4 linked regions of the Struthio camelus genome follow. The protein of the gene in region 3 interacts with the protein of the main gene of each other region in a biochemical or structural test. Links are inferred from orthologs where the notes say so. Each region holds a gene or a part of one and is shown on either strand. Other genes may lie near its edges. The genes, in order: NR2F1, GTF2F2, GTF2B and GTF2E1.

What was found.
Region 1: the proteins of GTF2B (region 3) and NR2F1 form a complex in vitro, tested with the Homo sapiens proteins (2 studies listed by BioGRID and IntAct). The link is inferred for Struthio camelus from reciprocal best matches to the Homo sapiens genes GTF2B and NR2F1.
Region 2: the proteins of GTF2B (region 3) and GTF2F2 form a complex in vitro, tested with the Homo sapiens proteins (2 studies listed by BioGRID and IntAct). The link is inferred for Struthio camelus from reciprocal best matches to the Homo sapiens genes GTF2B and GTF2F2.
Region 4: the proteins of GTF2B (region 3) and GTF2E1 form a complex in vitro, tested with the Homo sapiens proteins (2 studies listed by BioGRID). The link is inferred for Struthio camelus from reciprocal best matches to the Homo sapiens genes GTF2B and GTF2E1.

The regions. Positions count from the first base shown.
Region 1 is NC_090982.1:54,170,496-54,177,507, forward strand, and holds the start of NR2F1 (COUP transcription factor 1), read right to left. Parts: upstream 3,017-7,012; 5' UTR 2,938-3,016; coding exon 2,490-2,937; intron 1-2,489. UniProt on the Homo sapiens protein: Coup (chicken ovalbumin upstream promoter) transcription factor binds to the ovalbumin promoter and, in conjunction with another protein (S300-II) stimulates initiation of transcription. Binds to both direct repeats and palindromes of the 5'-AGGTCA-3' motif.
Region 2 is NC_090942.1:190,907,454-190,915,229, reverse strand, and holds the start of GTF2F2 (general transcription factor IIF subunit 2), read right to left. Parts: upstream 3,002-7,776; 5' UTR 2,800-3,001; coding exon 2,734-2,799; intron 1-2,733. UniProt on the Homo sapiens protein: TFIIF is a general transcription initiation factor that binds to RNA polymerase II and helps to recruit it to the initiation complex in collaboration with TFIIB.
Region 3 is NC_090949.1:19,992,605-20,000,580, reverse strand, and holds the start of GTF2B (transcription initiation factor IIB), read right to left. Parts: upstream 3,001-7,976; 5' UTR 2,743-3,000; coding exon of another isoform or gene 2,713-2,742; intron 1,030-2,712; 5' UTR 895-1,029; coding exon 847-894; intron 524-846; coding exon 420-523; intron 1-419. Other genes in the region: KYAT3 (kynurenine--oxoglutarate transaminase 3), read right to left, coding at 3,765-3,827, 5,300-5,386, 5,828-5,901, 6,889-7,075, 7,715-7,804. UniProt on the Homo sapiens protein: General transcription factor that plays a role in transcription initiation by RNA polymerase II (Pol II). Involved in the pre-initiation complex (PIC) formation and Pol II recruitment at promoter DNA.
Region 4 is NC_090942.1:92,867,737-92,875,492, reverse strand, and holds the start of GTF2E1 (general transcription factor IIE subunit 1), read left to right. Parts: upstream 1-4,822; 5' UTR 4,823-5,024; intron 5,025-5,360; coding exon of another isoform or gene 5,361-5,406; exon of another isoform or gene 5,407-5,481; intron 5,482-5,644; exon of another isoform or gene 5,645-5,755; intron 5,756-7,756. Other genes in the region: RABL3 (rab-like protein 3), read right to left, coding at 114-228, 3,238-3,367, 4,731-4,822, 5,361-5,406.

The sequences.
Region 1 (7,012 bases), on a different chromosome or scaffold from region 3:
GCCAAGGCAAACAAGACAAATCCGCCCCCCGGCCCCCTCCCCTCTCGCAACAAAAGGCAACCCCGCACATAAAAAAATAAAATCAAAGAAATCCTCCGGGTGGTAAGAAAGTGGGGTTAAAAATCACAGCCAGCTGTTAAAAATATAGCCAAGCTCTGTTGTGTATTCCAGCCGATTGCCCTGGTAGCACTGAGATTTACAAGTGAACTGCTGCGTTGCTTTTCTTTCCTTTTTCAAATCATAAAAAATAAATGCGTCCATATTCTTCAAAAATATCACATCATTACCCTTAAAACTAGACCAGGTCACAGCCCCCCAGCTTCCCACTGCTAACTTTATTACACAGAACAAGCTTTCCATACAGGACCCCCCTCCCCCGCCCAGCAAAGTTCGCCCTGCTAAAAGGAAGAGAAAGATTAAATATTGTCAAGGGAAGGGGGAAAATAAAACAAAAAGGTCCGAACTTACAATAGCCAAACATTCGTGGAAAAAAAAGGGGACGGTGTAATTAATATCTTTGGTGCGCTGTTGCCACTGCAAAAGCCTGCAGTCAGCGTTGCACAGTGAATGCACAAGCTTGCAACTGCAAAAACACTGGATTCATTAACCATCTCCACACAGAGCGTAAGCATGCCTCGAGTCCCGAAAGCTGACCAAAGTTTTTTTTAGTGTGTGTGTGTGTGTGTGTGTGTGTGTGTGTGTGTGTGTGTGTATGTGTGTGTGTGTGTGTGTTTCACTTCATCAGTGCCAGCGTTTTAAACCACATGCCATGTAAACAAAGGTAACTTAAGGAGAAGATACGGCTACTCAGGCTTATTTCTATATACACACACACACACACACACACGTACACACATGCATACACACACACACACACACACAGGCACACAGATAATTCATCTTTCCAGCATGCCACATTTTCTCAACTTTCTCTTTTATTCCAGCGTAGCAGAGCACGTATGTTCCCCACCGAGCCCTCCACGTCTCGCGGGCTGCACCTTCCTCTTTCTGCCCTCCAGCCCACCTCTGCCTCTTGAATCTGCTTTTAAACTTGGCAGTTATTTTTCAATTAACTGCAAGCACAATTCTAAGTTTGTTGGTGGTGGTTTTTTTTTTCCAGACGCCTACCAACAACCCCTGAAGCTACCAATGAAGTCGTCATATTTGTGAGCTCTTTCAGATCTGGAGCAACTCCATTTCTTTTCTTGTGGCATATAAAATATAATTTTAAAACCAATTAAGGCAGTAGTAATCCCCACTCCGCAAAATCGACTAGGTCGCTGTGACTCTAAGATATCTTTAACGATAGTCACAGGATAAACTTTAACTGTAAACCGAGAAATACTTTTCGAGGAGAAAAGAGGGCAGGAAATCTTCCTACGCGAAAATAAGCCTTAATGCGAGGAAAACCGCAGCAACTCTTAGAAAGGAGAAGAAAAATAAATAAATAAAGGAGCACTTGGAAATGGTGAGGAGCCCACTGCCAGATGCGGACTATGAATTCTGCTAAAATGAGAAGGATCGGTAAATAGGTTATAAATCGCAATTTGTATGCAGGCTTTAAGGAGAGGGTGGAGTTTGATGAAGAAATAAAATGAGCAGCGTGCTAAAAAAATGACAGAAGTACAGAAACCCGGTTCAGTCACAAACTTTCCTTTGAACGCATGGAGTGAAAACAAGGCCAAATCTCACACAGAAGCACACTCCAGGGCACTGGGAAGCACAGGGAAGCAGAGATACAGTAGCACATTTCCCCCTCTTTTTTTTTCTTTCCTACTTACACGTCTTTCATCTTTCTTTCGGGAAAGATGAGGCTGGGAATGGATCTACCGAGAAGTGTTGTGGGTTTAAAGAGAAATGATGGGGCGGGAGGGGGGGAAGGAAGCTGAATGGGAGCACATCTCGTACAGAGATGCATCTCCCCCCACCTCCCCCCCCAGTCTCATGCCAACAATAGACAAAACCACATCCACACACACACACACACACACACACACACACACGGAGATAGCGGCTAAATGATAAATATTTAGTGAGCGATCATAATAATAAATTCTCAGCACAATGAGCAGGGAAGGGAAGAGTGTGGCGGTGCTGGGGAAGGGGGTGGGGAGGAGCAGGAGGAGGGCAGGAGGCACAAACCAAAAAGCAAAAGAAAACACCACCAACCACCATCAACAATAACAACAAAACCTGGTGCAAAGCTGCCAGATGGAGTGCAGGCACAGGGAGAGATTGACATGTGCATGTAAATACAGAGAGAGACCTAGATCGCCACGGAGAGCTGTAAAAATATATATATGTGTGTGTGTGTGTGTGTGTATATATATATGTATATATATGTGCTTGTGTGTGTGTACGTATACACACACACACACACACTCACACACTCACTCTCACACACTCGCACATACACACACACACACACACACACACACATATAGCCATAGGGAGAGAGAGCGATAGTATAGTAGGGAAGAAATATTCACCTTCCCGCCTCATGCCCACTTTGAGGCACTTCTTGAGGCGGCAGTACTGGCACTGGTTGCGGTGGTGCTGGTCGATGGGACAGTTCCTGTTGGCACGGCATGTGTAAGTTAAGTTCCTGCGGACGCTCCTCTTGAAGAAACTTTTGCAGCCCTCGCAGGTGAACTGGCCGTAGTGCTTGCCGCTGGATTTGTCCCCGCACACCACGCACTCGATGTGCTGCTGGCTCTGGCCCGAGCCCTGCTGGCCCGGGCCCTTGTCCCCGGCCGTGCCCGGCGTGGAGGGGGGTCCCGGCTGGCTGGGGGTCTGCGGGGTGTGCGGGGCGGCCGAGCCCCCTTGCTGCTGGGGCGGCTGCTCCCGGGCCGGCTGCGCTGCGGGGTTGGGGCCGCTCGGGGTGCCCCCGGCCACGTCTTCCTGCGGATCTCGCCAGCTGCTAACTACCATTGCCATATCTCGGGCCCAAAAAAGTGCTGGGGAGCGGCGCTTCTCGCTGCGGGCTGCCGGGGAGAGAGGCGGGGGGCGGGGGGGAGGCGGGCGGCCGGGCGCCGGGGGCGAGCGGGGAGCGAGGGGACCGTGCCTGCCGCCTGCCGCCGCCTCGGCTGCCGCCGCCGCCGCCGCCGCCGCCGCCGCTGCCCTTGTGCCGCCGCCGCTGCCTGCCGGGGCCGCTCCTGCCGTTTTCTTTATTTTATTTATTTTTTCCGCGAGCCCCCCTCCTCTCGCTCGCTCGCTGGCTAATTTTTTTAGGGAGGGGGAGGGGGAGATGGAGGGCTTTTTTCGCGCTCCCCCCCCTCTTAAAATACCCCCGTCTGGCTATTTCCCCCCGTCTCGCTCTCGCTCTCTCCTCTTCTTCTTTCCCTCCCCCCCCCACCACCACCACTTCAAGTTGCAAAATCAGAAACGGCAAATAAGGCTGTCGGGAGAGGCATTCAGGAGAGTAACACACCGGACACACACACACACACACACACCCGCGCGGCGCGCACACACACACACACACACGCACACGCACACGCGGTCCGAGCGCTAGGAGTGCAGAGGATGTGCAGACATAGAGGAAGCCGGAGCGCGGAGGAGGAGGAGGAGGAAGAGGAGGAGGTCGGGGCCGCCGCTCGCCGCCGCTCGCCGCCGGGGCCCGGCCGCCGCCGCCGCTGCTGCCGCGGAGGCTCCCGCCGCCGCCGCCGCCGCCGCCGCCGCTGCCGCCGCCGCCGCCGCTGCGGGCTCTCGGGGCGCCGGGCTGGCGAGGCGGGCGCTGGAGGCACGGAGAGGAGCCGGCTGCCGGCGATCAGGGCATGGAGGTGTCCGGGGGCCAGGTCCAGGGCAGGGCGCCGTCAGCCATTCAGGGCGGCAGTGCCGGGGAGCGCGGTCGAGGCGGGCTGGGAGATGAGACAGTTTGATTTTGTGTTGGTGGCGGTGGTGGTGGAGGAGGTTGCCGGTCGCTTCTCTTTCTCTCGCGCTCTCTCTCTCTCTCTCGCTCTCTGTCTCTCTTGCCTTTTTTTTTTTTAAAGAAAAAAATACAAAAAAAAATATCGGATGTGACTAAATTCGCAGAGGAGACGAATTCACGGCGAAGTGTAAAAATAGAGAATGGGAATAATAATGACACACGCAGGAAAAAGAGAGATCCAAAGTAGGTCGAATAAATAAATCCTCTTCTTTTCCTCTTTCTTGTCCCTTCCTTCTTCTTCTGTGAGAACACACGATGCTGGTTGCAAAAAAATCAGTGGAAATCGCCCCAAAAAAGGTTCTTTTTTTTTGTTTGTTTGTCTAAAAAAAGTATTTCGGGTAAAAACTCATCAGCCAGAAGCAAAACCCTCCCCCAAAATAAAAAAATAGACAAGAACGGTCAAAATAATAATGGTATTAAGATGTGAACGCGTTCTCTCTCTCTCTCTCCGGGCTTTTTTTCCCCCTGTCTCTCTCTCTCTTTCTGCTTTTTTTCTCCTTTTCTTTCTTTCTTTTTTTTTTTAGTTTCACCTCTCTCTTCTTCTCTTCTCCTGCAGGAATGAAGCGAAAGACACAAGGAGGAAGGGTGGAAAAAAGAAGAAAAGGAAGGAGAAGAGGGAGATGAAGGGAAAAAAAACAACTAATAGAATATGCAAGAAAGGAGAGAGAGCGAGAGAGAGAGGGAGAGAGAGAGAGAGAGGGAGAGAGAGAGAGAGAGAGAGAGAGAGAGAGACCCAAAAAATGAATGCGTTTAAACGGGAAGCCTAGCAGAGCAATGTTTCCGAAAGGGGGATCTGCGCGAATGTCTGTATATAGTGAACTTTGACACTACTATTGAAACTGACACGTTTCTATGGAGATCGCTGCCTTATATGGAGCTCATGTCAAGGAGCCAAGAGAAGGGCTGCTGGCAACTGATAATCAAAGGCGACTGACTGGTCAGAGCCCTGAATTGGGGGGAGAGAAAATGGGAGGCTAAGGTTAGCCAAGCCTCCTTCACTCCATTGGTTACCCCCCCCCCGGTCTTTTTTTTTTTTTTTTTATAATTCTCTGCTACCTACTGACTGGGATGGGGAAGGGAGGGGAGGAGAGGGGGGGGAGTGAGGGAGGGAGAGGGGGAGCGAGGGAGGGAGGGAGGGAGAGGGGATTCTTCTGACAAGCACAATTTACATTGAGATCGCCCTGCGCTGCTATTTACTTTGAGACCTGATTAGTATGGGTCGTCTATGGTCTCCCTCGCTCGCTCGCTCGCTCTCACACACCCATGCACACACATCAAAAGAGGAGGATGCATTGCGATAGGCGGAGAGGGGAATTAAAAGGGAACGATTTGGGCTCCCCGTGAAAAGTTTTTCATATTTTAAAATGGGATTTCTGTGTCTGTTTTCAATTGCAAAAACCAGGCGAGGGATTTTAATGATGGAGAAGAAAATATGCTTTATGCAGGAAGGGGTATATGTGTATGTGCGTGTGCGTGTGCGTGTGCACAGACACATTCACGTACATATTTACATCTGCATATACTCCTGTCCCACTTTGGGCTATTTTTGCTGCTGGTCTGTCTTGCTCTCATTCCTCACCGAATATGTCCACCCTCCTTTTATTATACTGCCCATGGCCCCGGTGGGGTTCACAGTGTCATGAAATGGGATCAGAAATCAACACCCGTCTTTGCTCGGGGAAAAGCATTTTTGGGGGTGGGGGGTGAGGTGGGGGAGGGAAGCGGCCGGACCAAACCCGAATGCCTGTGCCCGCCGTGCCCCCCCGTGTCACGCCCGTGTCTCCTCTTACAGAGCGCGGCTGGCCGCCAGGAGAGCCCCGCCGGCGAGTAATAAAAGCCCAAAAGTAAGTTCTGCGCGCGCCGCCTGCGCGGATCGATGCCGGTGAAGCGCAGTCCCCGGCGGCGGGGGTTGCGCGCCCGCGCAGGCCGGCGCGACGCGGCGCGGCGGAGGGGCGGGAGCGGGGGGCGGGCGGGCGGGCACGGCGCCCCCTCCGCCGTGCTGCGCCGCGCCGCGCCGCGCCGGGGCCGCGCTGCGCCGCGCTGCGCGCCCCGCTCCGCCCGGCGCGGCCCCGGCGCGGCGGTGGCGGCGTGGCGCAGCGGAATCGCTGGATCCGGCTGCCATCTAGCGGACAGGCACCCAGCCGAGCCGCTGCGCCCGCCGCAGCCACCGGCTCCCGCTCCCCCTCCTCCGCCGCGCACAAAGCCTCTGCCTTTTCTGAAGCAGTAGGAAGCCACAAAATCTTTTTATGGCTTTTTATCCCCCCTTCTTTTTTTCTTTTTTCTTCTTCTTCTTCCTTTTTTTTTTAAGTGACTGCACTGGGGAAAAGAACCCCCTTCTTTCTAGTTGCGTACCTCTCCTAGCCTCCTTTCTCACAAGCCTTCCTTCCCTGAAACCTCCCCCTTTCTGCGAGAGGTTTAAAATTCGCTTTGGGTCAGAAGACTGTTTGTGATAAAGAAGAAAAAAACTGCAAAGAAAAAGAGAGAGAGAGAGAGAGATGAGGGAGATTACCCTCCTCTTAGCTCCCATAAAAGTTTATAATCAGATTGGAAGCCGGGGGAAAAAACTGCAGGGGGAAAGGGGATGAAATATATGACAAAAGTTTTGTTGTTATTTTTTTTGTAAAGAGATGTTGCTTTCATTAAAAAAAAAAAGCCCTCAACTTTGACGTATCATGATCACAATTTTATTTTTGTGTCAGCTCTGAAATCTGAGACTGAGAGCCGGCTGGAAAGGAGAATCCTTCATCATTTCTGAGATCAGACTAAACGCTTGATTTTGTCCTGAAATAATGAAGAGATTTTCAATGAGCCCCTTGGCCAAGCGGTCTCTATTGTATATTGCATTGATAAAAAGGATGTTATTGACTATGCAACAGTAGGCTCCTTTCCTCTCTCTCCTTCTTCCCAAATAAACTCTCGGTCCTGTCTCTTGGTCAGTGAGAAGGTGAAACGAATAAGATTAAATCAGACAAAAAAGCGAGCTCCGTATGTATATCATCTAGATTTTACTCCCCAGACTGTGAAGAGACAGGGAGTAAAAGAGGCAGAGCAAGACACAGAGAGAGAGGGAGAGAGAGGCAG
Region 2 (7,776 bases), on a different chromosome or scaffold from region 3:
AATCAGAAGAAAACATAAGAATAAGAAATTAACAGTTCAGAGTGTGGCTAATGTTAAGTAGGCTTTACTTTACACACACGTGTATAACTAAGAATTCTGATAATATTTCCCTACCCTAGTTTTCCCTGAAAATACAGAAAAAAAACTATTCAAGTTGCTTTCTAGTTTTGTACAAAAGAGACTCACCCTATCTCTTGTACTTCCTCGTACTGCTCATGCTCCCAAACTACTCATCACTATGGTTTTTTATTGTCTGTTAAGTAGTCTCTCTGGAGTACTTCCTGGGCTAGCATAATACAGGCTAAAAGGAAATTAAATAAGCTTTTTTTTTTGGAGTAGATGTTATTGCTTTCTCCCTCAAAGCAAGGATAAATTCAGCCTAGTTATCCTAACTAGTGAAGAGAAAAAGTACCGTTGCTTCCAAGTTTAGATCCAGAGGAATCCAAAGGACAAAAACCTGCATGCACCTTCCTATGGTCTACCAACGGTATTGACTTTGGAATTTCTTTTTTTTTTAAATATGCCAGAAGACAGCCAAATTGTAAATTCAGACCATGTGCATGCATGGTTATGTTGAAAGAATATTAGACATCAACTTGGAAGAACAATAAATATTTAAGGGTTCTTGCTAGCCCAGCTTTCTCATTAAACTAGGCAGCATCCTGTGCTCACAGAACGATATCCCCTATAAGCACAGACATGCCTGAAAACTCCTGGCTCGCTTCAAAAATGACTAACCCATGCCAGACTAATAGATAATCAAGTTCAGTACCCTGTCTCCAACGTGGCCAACAGCAGACACTTCAGGAAGAGCAGGAAAACAAGAGAAGAACAGGTATTTCCCCACTACGCTCTTCCAATTTCTGCGGGTTTTGCCTCAGCACTTCTTGAGGAATGGGAACATCTCCACTTTTAATATCTCAGTACCCTTTTCTTGCATAAGTCGGCCTAATGGTTTTCTGAGCCTGTGCAAAGTTTTGATGTTCACGCACCCTACTGCAACAAGTTCCCAAACTTAATTATGTATTGTGCAAAAATGCTTGCGTTGAACCCCCACCTAATGCATCCCTAATTTGACACATTCCTAATTCTTGTGTTAAGATTGATTCTTCTCTATTCACCTTCTCCTTGCAACTCCTGACTTTATAGACCTCTATCAGACTTCCAGATCCCTCATCTTTCCAGCCTGGATTAGCATATTTAGGAGGTCTTTGCAGAGGCACGATTCCTCGTGTCTCTGATCATTCTTGTTGCCCTCCTCTGTACCTTTTCTAGTTCTACCATATATTTTTCACAATGCGGAGGATAAGAACGGAACCGTATACTGTATTCATGCTATATAAGGCTAAAATAATATGTTCTGTTTTGTTGTCTTTCTTTCCTAATAATGCCCAATGTTGAATTTGCTTATTTGACTGCCACTGACATGACAGTCGCAGAACTATCTTTATCTATTGTAAACCCAAGATCTCCTTTCTGAATGACAATAAGCAGATGAAACCCAGCCACTGTGCAAGTATAATAATTAAAATAATTTTTCTCTATGCATATCATTTTACTTTTTTCAGCTTTAAATTTCATCTGCCCTTTCATCAACCAGCCACTCTCGATCATGATATACTTCTGCAGCTTTCTGCTATCAGTTTTCATTTTTATTGTTCTGGGTGCAGAGTTTCACAAAACCAGACATTCAGGTATCACTATGAAAGAGGAAGCCAGATGCACTGACCTACCAGATGCACCACCACCACCACACTTGCTTTGCATTGCAGGACTTCTGAAATTCCCCACTATTTTTTCAAGAGCCACAATAACAGGTTTTGGTAGTTGAAGAAAGATGCTGTCACACCCTTCCCACCACCCAGAACCAATATTTTGGTCCTCCCCTGTCTCCATGGGTTCTCTCATGCTGTTCTGGGCCTGCTCAAGTGGTCCCCAAAGGCAGAAGAGAAGGATGTTACCATTTCTTCCCAAATGCTGGTCCAGAAAAATGGGGGTACCCCTACAAAGGACCAGAAGGAGGCCAGGGCACATACTCCCCCAGTGGCTAGCGAGCCTCCTCTTTCCTGAGCCAATGCTAGCTTGCTGTCGGCAAAAACAGTCAAGTGATTTAGACAGATGGACCTTCCAGAAAATAAGGCTGATGCCTAGGAAGTGATGGCCTACTTAGTGTCAGCACACACAAAACTGGCCCTGCTGCTCAAAAGGTGCTTGTTTTGATTCGATGATCTTTACGCCAGCGCTCTCTTCCCTTTCCCACTGACTCTGCTAAAGCTTCTCTCCTCAAAGGTGGGCTGTAGTGACAGGAGCAACATAAAGAACACAGAAAAGTTCCCTTTGGTTTTTAGCCAGGATATAAACTTGGAAGTTCTCAATTTCATAGATCTGAGGGAAAATAAAAGTTAGAGCACCTTACTTATGATCCTTAATAAAACTAAAAGGCAGTTCTTAGGTCACCTGCTTTTCCTTAATTCACCTCAGCACCCACCTGGGAAGCGCTCTCTTGCTGAGTCCCCGCCACCCCAACCCTCTCCCCAACGAGGCGGCCGAGCCCCAAACACGCAGCGCCCGCGCGGCGCCCCGGCTCGCTCCCGCCGCTTCCCCGGGACCCCTCAACCCCCGCCGCGGGCCCGAGGCCCCGCTGCCGCCCGGCCCGGCCCGGCCGGGGAGGGCAGGGCAGGGCCCGGCCGCCACAGGCCGCGCGGGGCCGGGGGTGCGCCGGCGGCCTCTCACCTTCACCAGCCACATGCCGGTGTTCTGCTTGGCCCCGGTCAGGTCCAGCTCGCCCTTCTCGCTCATGGCGGCGGCGGCCCGGGCAGTCCCCGCCGACCGGAGCGGCGCCGGGCAGCGACGGGAAGGGAAACGGGTGCGCGCGCGGAACGAGCGGGGAGGCGCCTTCCTGCTCCCGCGCTGCGGGGCCACCGTCCCCCGCCGGACGCAGATGGGAACCGCACCGCGCCGCGCGCAGACGGTGGCTCGCGGCGGACCAACTTCCTCCGCCCGGCGTGGCGTCAAGCGCAGAGGGGGGCGGGACTCCGGCTCCGCGCTTGGCGGAGCCGCGGGTTCGAGTCCCCGGGCCGGCGGCCGTGCGGGGGGGCTCCTAGGCCGAGTGTGAAAATGTCGCGGGGAGGGGGGGCAAAACGGGAAAGGCCAAGGCCGTAAAGGAAGTGGGCAAACGAGGGACAAGAAGTGATGGTCAGAGCGAAGGAAAATGATTCCCCGCGTTTGTGGTACAAACGTGACCGAGGAAGCTGGTGGCTCTCCCATGAGCCGAGGAATAAAACTGTCTGAACATGCCTCTGACAAAGCTGAACTGCTTAAAAACTGCAGCAGGTTACCTGGAACAGGACAGCAACCCCGTTAGCAGTTGCGGTAATTAAAAAATAAGGTACTAAGCTGAGATAAAGCTGCGTGGTTTCAGATCGTCCTGTCCCACCGAAGGTGGTCCTGGCTCATGAAATCTGCCATCGAGAGCAATTGCAGTCGCCCAGGAGGGTGGGTGGGCGGGCAAGCGCAGCCCCGGGCTTTAAAACAGGGGGAAGGGACGGTCACAGACCTGCACACGTGGCTTCGGTTTCTGGAAAAATATTAGATCTCTCAAATAATGAGAGAAATTATTTGAAAGGACCTAGAAGAAAACAGAGACGAGAAGCGGTTAAGATGGACTGGTGAAGAGCAACATGTCATACCAGTCTGATTTCCTTCCGTGACGGGGTGAAGTGACAGATGTCGAACGTCTCCACCAAAGTCAGACTTCTGATATTAAACCCTGTGACATTTTGAGAAGCTATCTGGAGAAATCGGTCTAGATGAAGCTGCTATCGATTGATGAAAAGCTACTCGGAAAGACCGTGCAGCGGGAGAAGTTATTAATAGATGACTATCAAAAAGAAACAATATATGTGTGGTGCTATCCTCGGTCTAACTTTGTTGGGCAATTTCATTTTTGACTTGAATGATGAAATGATACACTGGAGGATGCTTATTAGACCTGTAGATAACATGAGGCCGGGGAGGGGTTATCGCAGCAGGGTGGAGAGCAGCGTTAGCATTCAAAATGATCATTTTTGTGACTATTCTCTCATCCTATGCAGATGGAGGAGGTCCTGTCCAACTCCCCTGGCTACCACTTGCTTCCCTTTCTGGGGTTTTGCGATGCATACCGTGCATTGGCACAACTGATGGGACAGGGCCGGGCAAGAGGAAAAAGGCATCGGTAGCTTAAGCCTGGGTTGAGACCAGATGCTTCATAATAGGACACCGCAGCCTAACGGTGGCGGGGGAAAAGGGGGGGAAGAACATGTTAATAACCTTCACATATGGAAAAAGGACAGATGAAAAGGGAAGAGGGAAGTTTGTTCGCCATATCTGCTGTGGATAAAAAGTGGAGTATTAGGCCTAGACTTCTGCAAAAGGACACTTACTTCAGTGAGCAGCAAAGCATTGGAATAGGTTGCCTGAGCAGGGAATGGAGTCTCATACCCTGTGAAAATGTCTTAAGTCAGGGTAAAAAAAGCATCTGCCCAGTGCAGCTGGCTCTGCTTCGAGACAAGGCTAATGGACTTAGATAGTCTCTGTATATCCCTTTTAGCCCTATTTTATGATTCTGTTCCTATCATTAGGGAAGTTTTCCAAATCTCTAAACTAATTTTCCCTTGTTGCAGTTTAAGCTCATAATTTCTTGTTCTGCTCACTGCGTGTGTGGAAAGCATTTTATTACCTTTCTCTTTGCAGTTGCCCTTTACTGCTATGTGTCCCTGTGGTTTCTCCCCGCTGCACTGAACAAACCTAATTCATTCCATTTGGTCTCCTAGGTCATATTTTCTAGACCTCCAGTCGTTCCCATTGCTTTCTGAATTTTCTCCAGTACTAGTTTACATCTTTCTTGAAGTGTGGTGCACAGTAACAAAGCTCATACTCTGTCTGAGAGTACACCAGCATCAAGTAGAGAATAGTTATGGTACGACACGCAAGATCTATCTCATGTGGCTTGCAGAAAACAGTCTCAGTATTACGTCTTGGGTATGATAGTCTTGCTTTCTAATTATAGGCAAACATCTAGGTAATTAAAGAGGTTTCTGCATGCCCCATCCACGTCCTCTCATGCCAGCCTTCAGCCTATGTGCCATTCCCTACCCTGCCACAAAACAACTCGATGATGGATCTAGCAGAAATGAGGCACTCAGCACATGGCAGAATTGGACCTGATGCGATTTGTCCCTAGGATAAACAGTGCATTAACGACAAAGTTATCCCTCTGCTCCGAGTTTTAGCTCAATCTGCATGCTCAGGGCACACTTGCCACCACTTGAAAAAAAAGAAAAAAAGAGGTGGAGTGAATTTTTCCAGCACAAGTGACATTTCCAATAACGCAGTGTCACGGCTGGTTGGTTCAGCGCACGTCACCTTCACACCGGAAGACCGGCAATGAAAGAAGAGGAATGCAGCTTACCAGGGGCGCAATTGCACATAAAGGCAACGTAACTAACCAGTTCGTGACTTGCTAGAGAAGTTGTTCTATGAGAAATCAGCAGTCTTATCCAAGGCATAAATCACAATAGAGAAAACATCCCTAAAAGCCTGGCAATTTCAGTGGCTCAGCTGGCAAACCGGAGCGGAGAGCAGCGAGGCAGAGATTTCCTTCTCTGCTACTCCCTCCAGGCAGCCTTGCCAGACCTGTTTCCTTGGAAACTAAATTTAAAGGGACAACAAGAAGGAAAGGAGGGTTTTCATTAGTTCCTCATCTGAAATCGGAACCTCATGTTTGCCACTGAGATGTTTAGCGCTGTGGCTGAGGATCCGGGGGCCAGTTGCCGAGAGGTGGAACTGCGTGTCAGTCACCAGTTTTGGTCTTGTTGGCATGGAAGGAGGTGTGAGGTTGGAGGACATAGATGGCAAGATTTAGCCTTGCAGAGCCTTCCTCTCTCCTTTATTCACTCAAGGAGGTGAGACCAAGAGGCTGCAACGCAGTCAGCAGGTGCAGACAGTTTCTCTTAAACAGTTTTAGGAACTGCCCAATAGCTGCAAACTGCCAGCTCTGATTTAAAAGCACCACAAAAAAAAAAAAAAAAAAAAAAAAAACAGAGGCATGAAAGGCCTGATATTGTCCTGTTGAGGTCGATGGGAGTTTTGTCATTTTTGTGCATGTGCTTCCCTTGAAGCCCAGAGCAGGGCAGATGCTCCCTGGAGCGGGCGCTGGTCCCACCCAAGCTGTCAGACGAGGACACCGCCAGACAGTTTTAGCTGAAAGTGCTTCTCAGGAATAGGACGGAGTGTCCAGAGATTAAAAAAAAGACCTAGTGGGAAAGGGAATTGCACAAGAGTGCTATAACCACCAGGCCATGTCTTTTGTGGGGGAAACCTGATTTTTGCCGTGACACCTAGGCGTTATCTGTAGCTCCCAGGTCCATGTGCGTTTGGTGGCCACTCTCTGGGTGCCTGCTGGGGATGTCAGTCGCATGCATACTGTCACCATTCCCTGACTCACTGGCTCCTGCGGGAAGGACAGAGACCTGGATATGCGGGCAAATGCTGCCCGGCTTGTCCGAAGGATGGTACCAGCACAGCAGGGCTTCATGCAACACACCTGCTGCCTGGCTTACAAGCAGCCTCTCCCTGCCAGTGAAACCAGATTTCAATAAATAGAATTTCTGGCCAACAGATGTTCCTTTCTGAGCAGTGCCTGTCTAGAGGCCCTGTAGGAAAGAACAAGACAGCAGAGAAGCTGGTGAAGGAGATGTTCTTGGACAGCACCACAAGAAATGTGGCAAGCGAGGGGTATGTCAGCCTTGAGGGGACATGTGGCCTCGGTCTCCTTCAGCTGCTCTTGACTCAAGAGCTCCACGTCCCTGTTGCCAGCTTCAGATGATCTCCTTGGTTGGTACGGCCAGCTGTGGGGGCTGACAGCATCAGGCTTGGGCAAGAGACACTGAGTGCGATCTGGCTCTTGACCTCCAGTTAGGCCTGGAGCTGAAGCCAGCTCCTTGCTCGTGATATTAGTTGCGAGATGCTTCAACATAGTTCTTGTTCTCCACCTGACATGAAGAAGTCATGGGATGATGACAGTTCATAAATATGGGAGATGCTGATGAAGACTACATTCCTCTGCATTTTTCTTGGTGTAGAGAACTCCCTGGGGAAGCAAGGCAGGCTGTGCACAAAAGGAAATAAAGTGGAGCATATGGTAATTAGTGTGCTATGAGCTCATACAGCACAGAGATCCATAAAGTTCTTTATGCAGATGTCCCCAAACCTTCTCCATCAGGTAAAACAGCAGATGACAAGCAGTTTTCATATGCCTGATCAAACAAATCAGCTGTAATAACACAAAACTGCAAGTGCTGAATTATATTAAGCAGGTGCGTGTCAACTTGTATTTCAGCTTATAAACGAGGCAGAGTGCGTGCATGGAATTTTAACAAGAACGACAGCATTTTGGTACTCTGGTGCATGGCAACAGAGGAGAAGACCCTTCCTTTGAGAGACACAAAAATGGAGCCCCAGCCCTTCCTGGCTTCATTTCACCACTCTGCTGCCAGCGAGTTTGCAGACCCTTTGAGCTTTATCACCTTCCCCATGGAGGATAAGTTAGCAAGGTGTGTTTCTGGCATGAGGGGCCATGTGAGGAGCAGAGGGACGGAGGCTCCTGGATACCATCTTGTGAAATTAAGTTAAGCACTAGAAAGACCCTTCCCGCCTTGACAGCTACAGCTGCCTTCTTGTTCTAAGACCTTGCACTTCAGACATGTGGCCAAGCTAGCCCTACTCCCACGGAGC
Region 3 (7,976 bases):
ATAAAAGGAAGCTGAACTATTAGAAGATGAAGCTTCTCTTTTTCCATTTGCAATGCCCTTTTTCACAAGGCTCAATAAAACCAAAAGATAAAATGCTAATAAAAAAAAATTGTTACTATCAATGTGAATACAGCTTGCTATATTAAGAAGTTTCCCTATAACCTCTGAAATGTGTGCGTAGCAGTATCTGCAACAGATGTGCCACATCAGCACTGTCAGTCCCATGAAGCTTTCCACGTTTGTCTTGGCTTCTCATATAATCTATTCTATAAAACAGATCATCTGCTGACAATCACTGTCAGCAGTCGGTCCCTTCCGACGCTGTTCTCATTAACTAGAAGTGAAAGGGTTTAATTTCCAGCACAGAAAGACAATCATTTTCAGCACTGTTGGAAAAAGTATGATAGATCATATCTCACCATTTCTTTATTCTCTGTCTGTAGCAATTTTTCCCAAGTTCTTTGTCCACAAGCAGCCAAAAAGTGGTTGATGTAGCAGATGGGAATACCACTATTAACCGTCTCTGTCAACAACACATCATTTTAATAACTTACAGAAAGTTCACCTTGCTGTGCCTAGCTGTACTTGTTCTTTCCCATCACTACAGTTACAACAATAACCCCACTTTAAAACTTATTTTTTAATTGCTCATTCTGGAGCTTTTTACAATTTCATCCAAAATATCTCATGCTGGCTACTGTCAGTGATAAATAGATAGTTCAATTGCAGTTCTCACATTATGAATATTACCAGCATCATTCCAACAATATAATGCAATGGGATATTCAGATGTCTTCATGAACACAATGAGGAGTACACTAATGAAAACAAGTCATCAATTCTTACTCGTATGTATAAAGATCCTTTGTAATGGTTTGTTGATTTAGCCAACATTCATTTTGTTAAAATAGCAGATGTCAGTCAAACGCCTCAAAGGAGCAAATGAAAGAAACAATAAATAGCCAAGGCAGCTGAATTATGCTTGGTATGTTAATTCATCTCTGTGCTGCATCTTATGTATTCAGACATCTGATGAAACAAAAGGATTAGCACACTACAGCAGCTGGACAAAATAGGCAAAAAGAAATCAAAGCTAAGTGAAGTCTAATACAGTGTGTCCCGTAACATCAGCAGGGCTCTGGAATTATACACTATGCAGAGCTATCTTTAAACCTGGGCCCCCTGTGTCTCCCCTGTCAGATTCAGTGCTTTAGCACGTGAGTTATTAGCATGCAAGAATGAGGTATTTAAAATGCTACTGTTACTGAATGTAACAATGGAAAAACAGGTATATTTTGCTATAATTTTTATAATTTCCTTGGCAACCTTGCCTATAGCTTTTCTTTCTTGCATATATTCATACAAAGACCGACTTTACACAGGGTGTCCCATTTGCCAATGACAGTAATGCAACAGTAACACAAGCCATGGTATTAACAGTAGTCAGTGTTGAAACAAGTCTTTAGGAAGCAATGATACTTCTTTACAAGGCAACAAAAACACTGTAGAGAGAGGTGAATGGAAGCAACTTTTATCACTTCACTGCTGTTGTGAGGACCCATAACACAATTACACATATGCTCACATGCTAACACGCTATCTCAGGGAAATCTTAAACTGCAGAAATAATAATTTTAAATAATAATTTTTAAAAATATTAAGTGGATTGTGCTTTGTAGCTGTTATCAAGGCAAGCATGGTACAACGATATTTAAAACTCCCTTTTGACATATAAAATGATGATGAAAATTATATGTTGAATTTTGTTGAAATTATATGTTGAATGTTGAATTGCATTGCAAGGCACTTGTTTCAAGGACAGGAAGCTAAATAACAAATATTTTATTATTTTGTACTATTTAAGAGGCTAAGTCATTAGGAAATTTTGATTCATATTATCATATCTGAACATATGTTAGCAAAGATTTTTTTATTTTATGAGAATTCACTTTGCAATGAAAGTGGCAGGTGCCTTAGTGTGACATTCTACTCCAAATGGCTTTTGGAATGGAATATTTGTGGAGTAATTTCCAAATAAACCAGTTGTTTTACATATCACCAACAGAAGCATTTCCCTTGCCCAGATTATCACTCAGCTCAACGAACTGACACAGTGTCCTCTAGTTCCTGCAACAGCACAACTCCCCGGTGCACTTTACACAAAGAGATTTTAAAGGTCGTGCAAAATACAGTGTAGATTTCACTGAATTTTACTGTTTTATAACAATAGTTCCTCCTGGAATTTATGGGAATTTATTTAAGAATTTCCCTATGACATTCCTGCTGGAATTTAAGTTAAGTCATTTTAATTACCAAATGGATATTTTACACAAAGACTACAAACCCCTGAAAAATACCAAGCAACCTTTTTCTGTTAAGGTTTGGGGGATGGCAGTGTATGACAGCTAAACAGACAACACAAGTCCCAGCTACTGGACTCCCAGAAGTCCAAGGGCAAGAAGAGGTACTGACATGTTTAGTCAGCAGAGGCGTAACAGCTGCTATCACAGTCCAGTTTCCATACAACTTTTTTTAGCCCCTGGCCACGATCACAGACTGATAGAACTCAATTAGACTCCAGCTATATGACTACAGAATGAGCAAGGCAGTTGCAAAACTAGGTATTGAATTTGTTCCAACTTTTCCCCAGAAGGCCTGTGGGAAGAATGAAAAAACACAGAATACAACATACATCCTTAAAAGGCGACCTACCTTGATTGCTTCTGCTAGTGGGAAACCCATCCAGAGATGAAAAGGTCACACAGCTCAAAGAGGAAGCAACTAGAAAGGATTTCTCCACATTGATCTCTTCTGAAACACTCCCTTATCCATCAAGCTTGAAATAGTCCTAGTTAGCTGAGCTCCATAGTACAGTATTTGGCCCATCTCCATGCTTCCCCAAGCATGAAAATAAGCACTGAAGTAAGTTTGGTGTGAAGTTACTAACGGTTGTTGTGAACATGCAAAAAGTGGAAAAGGAATTACAGGATTACGTATGTCACTGTACGTTTGATTGTGAAGGAGCCTCTAAGGCAAGGTGTTTTATTCTGCTTTGTAGATTCATCTATTTAATAAATATTATAGGTATTCTAGATGCCACTTTTAAAATTTTTTTGGGGGGGGGGGGGAACGAATGCCTTCAGAACAGTAAACTTGACTAATGTGGGAAAATAAAATACTAATTATGCAGCTCAGCACATTTAGAACTTGCCTATATATAAACACTGCGTTGATTTAACTCAATCACTTTATTTAACTGATACAATTCATGCATGGACAGAGTAGGTAGGTAGGTAGGTAGAAAGTCACTGCAATTATCTAATCTGAGGCACGTCTTAATTCTCCTCCACTGCTGGCTATTAGGTCTCACAAACCACAATGTTTTAAGTCTTACCCCTAGTTTCTATACGACTTCACACCAAAAACACCTCCCATTTTTTCCTTGTAAGTCTTAAAATACCTATATGATGTATTCATTTTACTCAGAGTACCAGAAATCTTTGTTTTTCAGTGAGAGAGGTGGAGCCTGTAGATTATTTTGGAAAAAGGTCAATCATTTTGAAAAGACCTCTGAAAATAAGCTCTGAATTGCATTACACGCATTGAGTAAATCATTGTTTTAACTCCTCAGCAGGTGGCAGCACAAAGTTATTTACAATGTCAAATTAATTCTGTACTAAGTAATTTGTTCTTAAATTTGCAAGAAAAAGTCCTAGTGTAAGATTATACCAGACAGAAGAGTTGATTAAAAAAAAAAAAAAAAATCAAGCTATCTTTTTATTCCAGTTCTTCAGGATGACTTCAGCTGCATCTAGTGTGCTGTCTTTCTGCAAAACAAGGAGTACTACTATTACTGTAAGTAAAGAGTTCTTGAAAACAGAGTAGCAGTCATAATTATAACATCTGAAATCAATATTTGGCAGTTTCGTTCGCATCATGTAAATATCCCAAACAGTCAGTTCTCCATTAACATTTATAGCTACAAATCTAGACAACACCAAGAATTCAATGTTAATACCCTGCAAATATTTTTCAGGTGTATTTGCTAAAAATAGAGCATATTTTTCTCAATATTTACATTATCAAATTTAATGAAAGTGGATACTTTTTACATAAATGCCTGGCATTTATGCATTAATGTTCTTGACCGCTCTATATTAGAAGCATGCTAGTCATAGTTTGCTAATCTTTACAATTAGGATTTTTAAATTTCCATGCAACCAAGCTATGCTGTGAACTACTTAAACATAATCCCTCTAAATATGGGTAATCCATCCACTGGCCAGTTCTGTGGCTTGGCTACAGCCGGTTAGTCACACGAGTAGCCTTTACCTTGGCACAATTAGCGTTCTTCATCCTGAGCAAGCCACGTTCACAACGAGCAAGTTTCATCCTGGTTGTTAGTGGCTCAGTTTATATCATAGTCTTTATACCTCATCTTAAGAACTAAGTAACACAAGCAGAAACTCCCTTTCATCAGTGGTTCAAGCTAAGGCTCTGATCTGTACATGGAACAGTTAAGGGGTTGGCATATGTGCCATTATGCCGATTCTATGACAGAACAGTAAGACTAAGATTTTAGGGAAGTATGTCTACCAAAGTTTATGTAGCTGCCTCCAACGTTTTTCAGTATTTTCAAAAACAGACCCAGCAAGTGGGTGTAACAGGAGGAAGAAGAATATGGGAAGAGGAGGTGCTCACAAAATTACAAGAGTCTGCCAGTTTACAATTTGTCAATTCTGCCTCCTTTAAAAAACACTGAAGATTCCTTTTTATGTCTTTGTTTTTCTTTGTGATTTGGAGCTCATTTAAAACTGTATGTACGTTCAGGTAAGTGAGCTAAACTTGAAGCTCACCTATTTAATGATTTGTTTTGTTGTTTGAAACTGACTGCACATGGTGTATCCCTGTCTGCCATAGAAAGGAATTATTCCTTACCATGGATTATAGAATTCATCTTAATAGATAGCATGAGATATCTGTGTCATCCACTCTCATTGTCACCACTGGCCAAGAATGTTTTAAAAATCAACAGAATAAGCTAAAAAAAAGCTTACCCACCCAGCTGTTTTCTTCGACCTGCCCTTCTTAACCATGCCACTCGCATTTAGGACTTAAAGCCCCTCAGCAAAAAGATAGCTGAAGCTACTTTGTGTTTAATTTTACATCAAGCTAACTTTCTGCTGCTAAAATCACAAAACTCAGGAGATCCTGTGAAAAAAATGTTATAAGTAGCCTGTTGCAGATTTTTATATTCATTGATTTTTATTTTTTGAATCTTCCTGGGACACAAGTTTACCTTAATGAAGCAAAAACGTATGTATTTTTCAAACTGCACTTTTGTCTGAGGACCACAGAATGCTGAAAGAGGAATTGCTGAAAGTTTCTGAAGCATAAAACGGAAATATTATTTATTATACACAGATGAAAAACCAGTTTCACACATGACGATTTTACTATCGAATTTCCTAGAACTCTCCCTCCCAACATTCAAGTGAAATACTAGGCTGGATCTTGCACGCAAAGCTACGCTTAACTAAGTTCAAATCACTTTTTTTAGGCAAAACAGTTCAAAGGTACTTGTCTACAACTAGCATTTAAGCGTGCAGAAAGAACAAAAGTTGAGACTTAACACAAACCTACAGAGTACATTTTCAGTACATTCAGCAATATTTTAGTCACATCATTTCCAGCAGTTAGCATAAATAACAAATAATATTTTGAACGTAGTATTTCTACTCCATTATTGCATAAGTACAGTTACACTTCTCTTGCTTCCAGTAGACAAGCATTTCTAAAACTTCAGAGTATGACAAAGACACCTTACCTTAGATGCTATCATCCATTTGACAAATTTATAATCATAAGGTTGATTCTCCTCCACATCAGAGAGATCTACATCTAAAAAAATTAAACAGAGAACAAACAAGATCTTGTAAGACTTCCTAGCCTCCAGTGGCAAGGCATTCACTAACAGCACTTCAGTTAATACTTAAGAATAAAGAGGTATGCTTTTATTATAAAATATAATTAAAAAAAGTTATAAAGATTAAACCAGGCCAACAGATGTACATCTTTCCACTCTGACCTGAGCACTCGCTTTCCATGCAAAGCAAAATCAGAGAAGTAGCTTGGGAGAGAACGATGCAATCCCCCAAGAAGTCATCAAGTCTGGATGACTAAGGGCCCTGGAGTCTGGAGAGTACTGAAGTGTGTCCTTTTTGCACAACATGGACAGCAATAATCACTGCTACTGCTGCAGTTCTCTTATCTGTAAAACTAGGGTATCTATAATTTTCCGACATCCTGGTAGGACTGTGAGGCTCAGCTTTGCTTAAACGTTTCTGTGTGAATGACAAGTGCCATTAAAACCAGTCAGTGAAAGATATCCAACAAAAATCCACAACCCTGATGGAATTCTTCCTCCAGAGGTAGCATAGCCTGAATTTCCAGAGAGATCTGTAAATGTTGGTGAGATTTGACAATGTTTAAAAATCAGAATGCGTTAAAGATAGCTCAGCATTTGACTGCAGCTTAAGGGGAGAAAAAAAAAAAAATAGAAAATGGGTACAAACGCAGGATATTAAGCCAGGTACTTGGCTCGCAAATGTTTCCATAATCAAAGACCTTTCAAAAATAGAAATGTTTTTACTGTTTCCTTTACTTTTCCTATTTGCACATCCCTGAAACCTTGCAAAAACTTTGCAAGGTTTTGCTGAAGCTTGTAAAATTTACCTCCAGGCTAAGGTCAAACAGAAAATTTCAGTCCCAATTAGTACTTCTGACAATGTTATGAGAAAATGAAATGAGAACATAGTTTAAAATGGGAGTTGCATTTTCATCTTAATATTTGTTTCCCATCCCCCATTTACTAAACCTTTTACTAACTTAATGTAGAAACATCAACAATCATAAAGTATCCTCCATCTGGAATGACAGGCTTCAGTCCAACTTCTCGAAGTAGCTGAGCCATCCGATCACGCTTGCCTTCCAGCTCTCGAGACAGTGAGTAAAAATAGCAGTCTGGGTCATCCATGCGTTTATAGTCTATCCAAAAAGCTTGTGCCAAAGCCTCCTGCAAATACAATGTTCAAAGTACTCATGTACACTCGGTACACCCATGGACACTCAGGCACTTCCTACTGAAATCATGTGGATTTTGCCTTGATCTGGCTCTCATTAAGAAAATCAGCATATTGAAATTAGACAAGCTACATCCAAACGTCTAATTTGTTTGCTTACTTTGTGCTGTGGTAACACCCAAAGCACCCTACCATTTGCCAGGCACTAATCATACACAGAAGTCACAGTCCTTGCCACAGGAGTTTACAGTCTAAATTGAGCTAAGTTTAGTTTTAATTATTGATAATAATATATCACAGAGCACTAGTAAATAAACTGTGATCTAGTTGATAGAGACAATTCTCAGCAACCCAAAACCTTATTGCACTAACCTTTATTTATATTTGCTAGGAAACCACTGGTATTGTCACGTTTCATGCAAGAAGGAGCAGTTTACGGATGAATGAAGAAGCAAGACTCTGGTCTTTTTTCTAAATGTTTGATCAAATTTGTGTCCTCTTCCAGTACCCCAAAGTATGTATTTTGACAACTCAAAATTCATTGCTATGGTCAGTATTTTATCATGGTAATACCTACAGGTTTATGCCAGGTGCTATATGTAAATAACCTCCTCCGCTCTATCTGTACCTACCTGTAATGGAGTTGGGCAAGTATACAGTGTATTTTGCTGAACAACTTGCAAATGCTTTATCAGATGCTGGGGGCCAATAGACCAACCAAGCTAAGGGAGAAAACATGCATATGTTATACTTGCAGCAATGGTGTTACTAGGAATTAACAAAGAATAAAAGTTAGCAAATGTCTCAGTGTTTTCTATTTTAAGAATTGGTAGTCAATTTGTTTCAATAAAGAATTCAGTAAAGAGCTGGTTTACACAAAGGATGCTGAGTGAT
Region 4 (7,756 bases), on a different chromosome or scaffold from region 3:
AGTCTAGCCCTCTCTAATTTCCTATGGATTTCAAGTAGCTTAGGGAAGACCGAATACTTCTAAAACAGCCTAGAATCATTGTGTCATAGAGCACAAGTATGCTTTTCACTCACCCGTTTGTCACTAGAACTCCCGTTGGAGCGACATCTCTGTTGAGTGCTTCCAAAGACCAGCGATACAGATTCTGGGATGACTTCTTGTTGGTTAAATCATGCACTAAAATTATCCCTAAAGTAAAAGAGCAGGCAGCAAGATGCTATTTCATGATATACAGTTTTTCCTTTTCCTATCAAAATGGCACCTGCAGGTTCCCAGACGTCTGGGAACTAAGACAGGGAAAGATAACTCGTTGAACTACAGGGAATGAGTTAAGGTGAAAATACGAAAATGCAGCAGTTTTTTAAAGCTCCTTCTCAGGAGTTGGATAAGAAGAAAAACCCAGGAAAGGAGGAACAGAACATCCATCTTAGGTTTTAATTTGCAACAGGCTGGCAGGCATTCCCCAATTCTGTTCTAATCCTCTAATAATGTAATCCTAATGATACTGAAACTCTGTATTAACACAGCAGAGAATTCAGCCTTTCACTGTTCTACCTAGCTGGTAAACACACAACTCTTTTCTTGTCACACAATCTAAGAAACAGAAAGGCTGTTTTGGGGCTGGGTGGGTTCTGAAGGGTTTACAGAGCACTATTACCTTCCCACAGTTTCAAGAACTAATGCCATGCACTTGTGGAGGTATCCAAAGGGGAAATAGGCTCTGATGAACTTTCACAGTCCACCAAACGCTTGGTAAGAACACGCGCTAATACGATTCCATGTAGTCAAGAAAAAGCTTCTAGCATTTTTCATTACCGTGAGCCTTCAAAATGTAAATCCTGAGATAGGAAAATTGCCAGCCAAACTTTCTAGCTGTGCTGTTAACAGACACCCACTTCTGATAACCAGAGTTCCTAACTCAATTATCAACTCCTGCTAGCAAATATCTTCTATTTATTCACACCTTCTGCCACCTGTGGAATGCTCCCACTTTCTCCAGACTTTAAACCATCACTTATTCAAGGATAAGATGCAATTATACCTCTCATCGCTATCGGGATTTGTTCTCAATACACATTTCACAGCCCACAGGTGTACAAAATTTATTTCATTTAATCTTTCATCGGTTACCTCCCAAAGATGCCACCCACTGTAAACACTAAGAGCAAACCACATAGCCGCATTCTCCACTACCCCACACTACTTTGCACAGAGACTCCTATGAGAACTCTACAAGAAAACGAGCACCTCCCCCAACATGTCACAACAGTATCACTCTTTCAAAGCCTTTATCTCAGTACTAGCAGAAAAAGAGCAACTTGACCTTGCGTCCACCCCCCAGTACAGAGAGAGAAAGCCTGATGCAAAAAAAATTGGCTTATGGCAACAGATTCAGAGGCACTGCTGCATAACTTGCAAGAAAATTCCTCCTCTTTCAGGCATCCTTGACCTAAATAACGACCTCTCTCCCCTATTTACACTTTTCGTTGGTCAGTTTCCTTACTTGCCTCGCTCAAAACTACACAAGTAGTTGGACCGGCGGAAAAGACTGTGTCAACATCAATAAAGAGCAGACAAGACCAAGGACTATTGTTCCTGCTACATAAATGTCTGAAAACCACAGCCTTGCTACCTGTTCACTGTCTCGGACTATCACCGTGCACAAAACAGATGCAGGCTCATGAAAGCTGATGATCTGTGGCCATACCAAAAGTGAATGATACCTCACCTCCTCAGCAACCAAGTCTCCCTGACAGTCTGCACAGATGCTGCTATAACCAAACATTAACTGTCTTTTGATCTCAGACTTCTCAGATCACTGCAAGCCCAGAAAGGACAAGCAGTCAGGCAGAAGTAATGCGCTCCTCTTCTCGCATCAGGTCAAAGAGAGGCAATTTGTGAGACAAGCTCTAATGAAGAAATGTATCTAATGAAAGAAACTAGAGCCAAGGCTAACTACCAGAGACTACAATTTTCATATGTGAACTGGCTAATGTCTTTCGGGCAGTGGTAATAAAGCAACCCAATTTTCATAATTCCATCAATTAGAAGTCAGATACAAAAGTTCAAAACTTCATCTCCTCATGTGCTGCTCTAGGATATTTCCAAGTCTGACCAACACGAACTGTAATATTGTGGATTTGGTGCCAAAAAGAAATCCACTTCTTCTATACACCAAAGCAGCTTGCTTTAAGGCCTCTGCTTTGAGGGCACAATTCAGCTCAGCCTTACTTAGAGGGGTCTTGTTGTATAATGTAAGCAAAAGGCACCTACGCACAATTTTTCTCCTGGGAAAGGGGAAATAATCATAATTATGAAGGGCCCTCAGATGATGATGACCAAGAAATGAGAATCGAAATAGAACATCCGGGACTAAGTTTTCTGAAGTAGTCATTAACCTAGCATACTCTTATTTTCAGTGAACTGTCCTTGCATGTCAAATAGATAGTACCTGTTAGTATCTAGATAGTATCTAATGAGATACTGCATTTTAAATACTATATTCATAATATCTTATACGCTACTTCTGTGTTCCAGATGAACTACTAGACCTACAGGTCACTATTTCAAAAGAAGGGATGCCATATTTTCCAAGGCATAAAATCTATCTTTCTATTAACAGCAAGTTGCAAGAATTAATTACTAAAAATCACTTGCCAAATTAAGCGAACAGAGGGCAAGACGGTCATCAGATTCTTGCAATGTTATGGGAGATCTGTTCAAACTTGCCAGGGTGGGACATAACCATCAAAGTTCATGTACGTGCTTTATGGGCAGTAAACTTTTCCTTGGTTTAGATTTTGGAACCAAACAGACAAGGAAAACATAAATTAAGTCTCTGAATTAGACCTGGAAAGGTGAAACCAGCTCTCACATCTACAAGGATAGCTGGAAGGGACACCACTGCAACTTCAAACATCCCCTGTCGTGCCCGTTGCACAAGGCTGGGATAGTGACACAAAGTAAAATGCTGGATGAAGCTCATTTGCACAGGCTTGCCTGAAATAGTTTTCCAGTTCAAAACTGAGTCCATAAAATTCTGCTGAAGAATGGTATCACTCGTTCCTGTATAAATGTACTGGAATGAGTACAGAGAACAACACAGCCCTCAGCCAGACTCAAGGAATCCTGCTCCAAAGCCAAGAGACAGCTTACAGCAGAAAGTGACAAAAACAGATTTACTCCAAGCAAACTTACCATTCAGCAAGTTATAAAATACTGCTCGTGTGCTTTTCACGCTAGTGGCACTGCCCACTGAACCGCCAACATCCCACAGCTCAATATAGTAGGTCTTCTCTTCTGGAGTCCCTTCTTTGTAGTCATGAATCTGATGGAAAATTCAGACCATACGTAATCACAGCATTACCTTGCAGGAGTTAATCCACACAACACTTAAACATTCAGCTGCAATGACTACTGCATTTGGACAGAAATTCGTAAATTCTAACACTGACATCATTTGAAATCTCTCAAGTAGAAGAGGACTGACTGGATTGAGTCAGGCAACGACCACGGCGGTCACTGCAGTTCCTACAAGAGATGAAGCTTGGTGAGTCAGCAGGGAACATTCTTTCCTCCTAAACACTAGCAAACCTAATGACTCATGGAGTGCTTGGACACAATGTGCTGCTAAAGCAGGTGAAAAGATGAGGTTGTGATTTCTCGCAGTTGTTAAAAATCACATGACAATACTGCATAATTAAGAATATTAGCATGGCTGACTACACCAGATTTAGACTGACCACATCTTTTTACTCCTAAATTCTCATCGACATGTCAAGTGAATTAATCAAATAGCAATTTTCCTCCCAGGATTTGCTGCGTAGTTTTGCTCCACAGTCAAATACAACTGCAACATTTCTTTCCCAAAATTTTGGGAATATAATTTGGCATTCTTTGAGATAAAACTCCTAGACAATAGGACAGGATCATTCCTAAGCTACCGCAAAGCATTTTAGGGAGAATGTTGCATACAAGGAAGGAAGGAAGCATTTATCACTATCCCAAAAGGACTGCAGGTAGGCCAAAAACTACCAGATGAGTAAACTCACAGTCCCCCGATACTAGGCGCCGTGATGAGTAGACTGCAACAGAAGCAATCCCATGGTCATGCTAGAAATCCTCAAATCAAACAAACAGCCAATTCTGTTCTCCAATGTTTGGCTGACAATTTAATTGTGCACTGACTGTTTCTCAGGGAAGCGTAGTGCAAGTTCTGTATCCTCTGATTTAAATGGGCTGCTCATCAACTTATAACACTTCAGTGGTCACTGCGATAAGGAGGCTCTATGAATGACAAGAATCTTTGCTTCTTTAGTTAGCAATCTTGTAAAGTCACAATTTGCTCACACAAGTGCTCTGCACATATTTGATACTTTTTCTTCTAACAGTTTTCAACTTTACAAAACACTGAAACACACCTCTTTCTGTGGGGCAAAGTAATGAAAACAACAAATTAACTAAAGACTGGAATCAAATTCCAAAAATCTAAGAATCTTGCTTTCAAGCTTATTTAAGTTCAAGCTCATTTACATCCCTTAGAAGAATGAAAGTCTGAATCAGCCCAGCTGAGAGTTGAGCTTGTAACAAAAAGCCCACAACACTGGGAAACAAGGTCGATTTCCTCTTTCGCATTTTAAATTATGTGTACTTAAAAAAAAAAAAAAAAAAACGCCTGGAATATCACCTACTCGAACATCCACCGAGCAGCCCACTGTCCAAGATGGATTCCCCAACACCTGGTTTTGGCATAAGAGGTGAACTAGTGAAGACTTCCCAACACCTGCAAACGCATGTAGAGAACAACACCCGATCAGTGGACGTGTCTGGGATAAAAACAGCTAAAAAGGCGGCGAGATAACCGACAGAAGCCCTCAACGAACCACCGCGTTTGTGCAACGCGCGGCCAGGGCACCGCCGTCAGTCCCTCCTGACTCGAAGGCGAGTCCGAGGCCGCCGCGCCAGGCGCCCGTTAACGGCCAACGGTCAGTGCCCAACGGCCGCGGCACAGAGCCGGGGCGAGGGGGGGCAAACGGAGGAGCAAAGCGCCGAAGCTCGGCTGGCACCGCTCGTCTCCGGAGACGCAGGCGGGCCGGGAGAAGGGCCGCGGGCGGGTGGAGCGAGGCCGGTTTCTCGTCAGGGCGAGGCGGCGGCGCTGGGCGGGAGGGCGGCGGGAAGCAGCGGCCGCGCCCCCCGGCACCGGGGAAGGGGGGCCCCCTCCCCCTGGGAAGGAGCCTGGGGGGGAGGGGGAGTGTAACTGTCCCGTCCCCCCGCCCTCGCTGTGCGCGCGCGTACTGTGCGGGAGGGGGAGGGACACTCACCGGAGTCGCCTAGCACCAGCACCTTGACCCGGTCCAAAGCTGCCATCTTACTCTACCTAGCAACAGCCCCTGAGCGTCCCGCCCTCTCCCGACGCCCCCAATCATAACTCACACTGCCCTCATTTTTCTCAGCCCATTGGCTGCTTACCCGAGCGACTAGGACGCCCTGGAGCTCTGTGATTGGCTCTTTCCCTTGTCGCTCAGCGGGCTTAGTACCGGTTTCTGCCCCGGCCACGGGCAGCACGTCGTAGTGCGCATGCGCCCCGCGGGCAGCGCCGTTGGGCAGGGGCCTGGCGCCTTGTGACGTCACAGGCGTGCGCGCGGTTGTGACGCGCCCTCGCGCAGTCACCGGAAGCGCCGCCCGGAGAGGGGAGAGCTCGGAGCGGCGGCGGCAGGTCAGTGCCGGCCCCGGCCCCGGCCCCGGCCGACAGCGGGCCGCCCTCGCCCCGTCCCCGGTGCCCGCCCGCGGCTCCCCGGAGCGGGTGGCGGTCCCGGGCGAGGGCTCACGCGGCGGCGCACCGGGGAGTGGCCGGGCGGCGGGGGCGAGCCCGCCTCGCTCCCCCTCCCCCCGCTCCGGGGTCCCCCCTCCCCCCCGCCTGTTTTAGGTGCCGTTGGTGGGGTTGGTGCACGCCGGTGCCGCCCGCGGGGCTCCGTGCTGCTCCCCAGCGCCCTCGGCCCCAAACCGGCGGCTGCCTCTTTTCTTGTATTCCCCTCCCCCCCCCGCCCTTTATGAGATACTGTTGAGCCCCTCGAGTCTCCGGTCGTAGAGGAACCTACAGAGCCGGCCGTTTAAAAACTCAACACGCAGAAGTGTGTAGAGGGTAGGAAGCTGGGCATATAGTATAAGGGCTTCTCTGGTTAGCATGGGTGTAAAAGCTTAGGCCAATGCTAAGGCCTAGTATACTTTAGGAAGTCTGTGTGACTTGTAATTTGAGGGGAGCTGCTGGATTATAGACTCCAAGGAGTAATTAGCACTGCAAGAGGCCTGGGGTGCAGTGAAATGAGATGGATGTATTGAGACAACAGCCTGCTACTGTTAAAGGGGATATCTTTAACCTCATCCCCCTGTGTCAAGTGTGACCATTGTCTGAGCCCCCACAATGAAGCCGTTCAGCTCTCTAGGCCTGCAAGGTTTTCTTACTTTGGTCTTCTCTTGGCTTAGCAAGGTTGATGGTTCCCTGAAGGGCAGGTGAGCATCTCACAACAGGAGTGAGCTGTTAAGTAGGTTCATTTAATGGTATCATTTCAAGTGGCTCAGGATACGTGAGGAAAGTGTGTCTTATGAAAGAAGTGTTCAGCATTGCCCAGTTAAGATACAATTCCATGAAATACAGGTAACTTAAGATTTTTTTTCCACCTCTGAAAGGTGGAGTTGCCTCTCATTTCTTCCCCTGCAGTGGCATTCTCTTGCATCTGCTGTTTCTGTTGCTTATCAGACCTTTCCATTAGCTGATTCAACTGATTACAATGTCAGAGAACAAATCTAGTTTAAAAAAAATTTTCTTCTGCTATGGTAGTTGGTTAATTTGGAGCGCAGAAGGGTCTTGTGAGTGTCAGAACTGGTGCAAGAGAATGGGCAGAGCCATGTGCTTGAGAGTGTACCAGTTCCCTTCCAGCAGCAGCAAGGGCTGATGGGAGTTTCAGTCCTACCCTCCATCTCCTTTCAGATACTATTTACAGCACGCTCTCACACAGGATGCCTAAGGCTCTTCTAATGGAGAAATTATATGAAATTAAAGCTAATCAGATATTCTCTAATTCCTTAATTTTCTATTTCTTTATCGCTTACATCCCCAGTAGGTACATTAGAGTTATTAGCTTGCTATATCCTGATGAGCTAAGTCTTTTCCAAACACGTTCCTTAATTGTTTGTGTTACTTTTTTCCTGAATTCCTTAAAGTCAGACACTTTCTTTCTGGGCGTATAGTCTTTGGTACCAAGCATGATGTGCCAGTTCTCATTGAACCCAGGATGCTAAGAAGGATTATTGCTTCCTTCCCCTGAGAAACTTCAAGAGGGATGGTGGGTTAAGTCAACTATACTGAAATCATGACTTAGGCTTGATATGTTTGAGAATACCTTTATCTTTTTCCCTTCAAAAAAAAAAAAAGGAAGGGGGGGGGAGGAAAAAAAAGCCCACCTAAAGAACCCTAGCACTTTGCTATGTGCAGACCAATGCTGAGAAGTCTCCAAAATAGTGGTTGTGCTTCCCCTGGTATGTACTTAAATGGCATTGTGAATTGTATGGGTTTCTGATATCCTGATATCCACTGTTAAAATATTCTAGGGCTTCACAGTACAGCTAAGTCAATTTAACACCTCTGTCACCACACGGAGAAAGCTCACTCTTCCACATCCCTAGCTGTCCTACAGCTGTGAACTGTTTGTTAATGGTG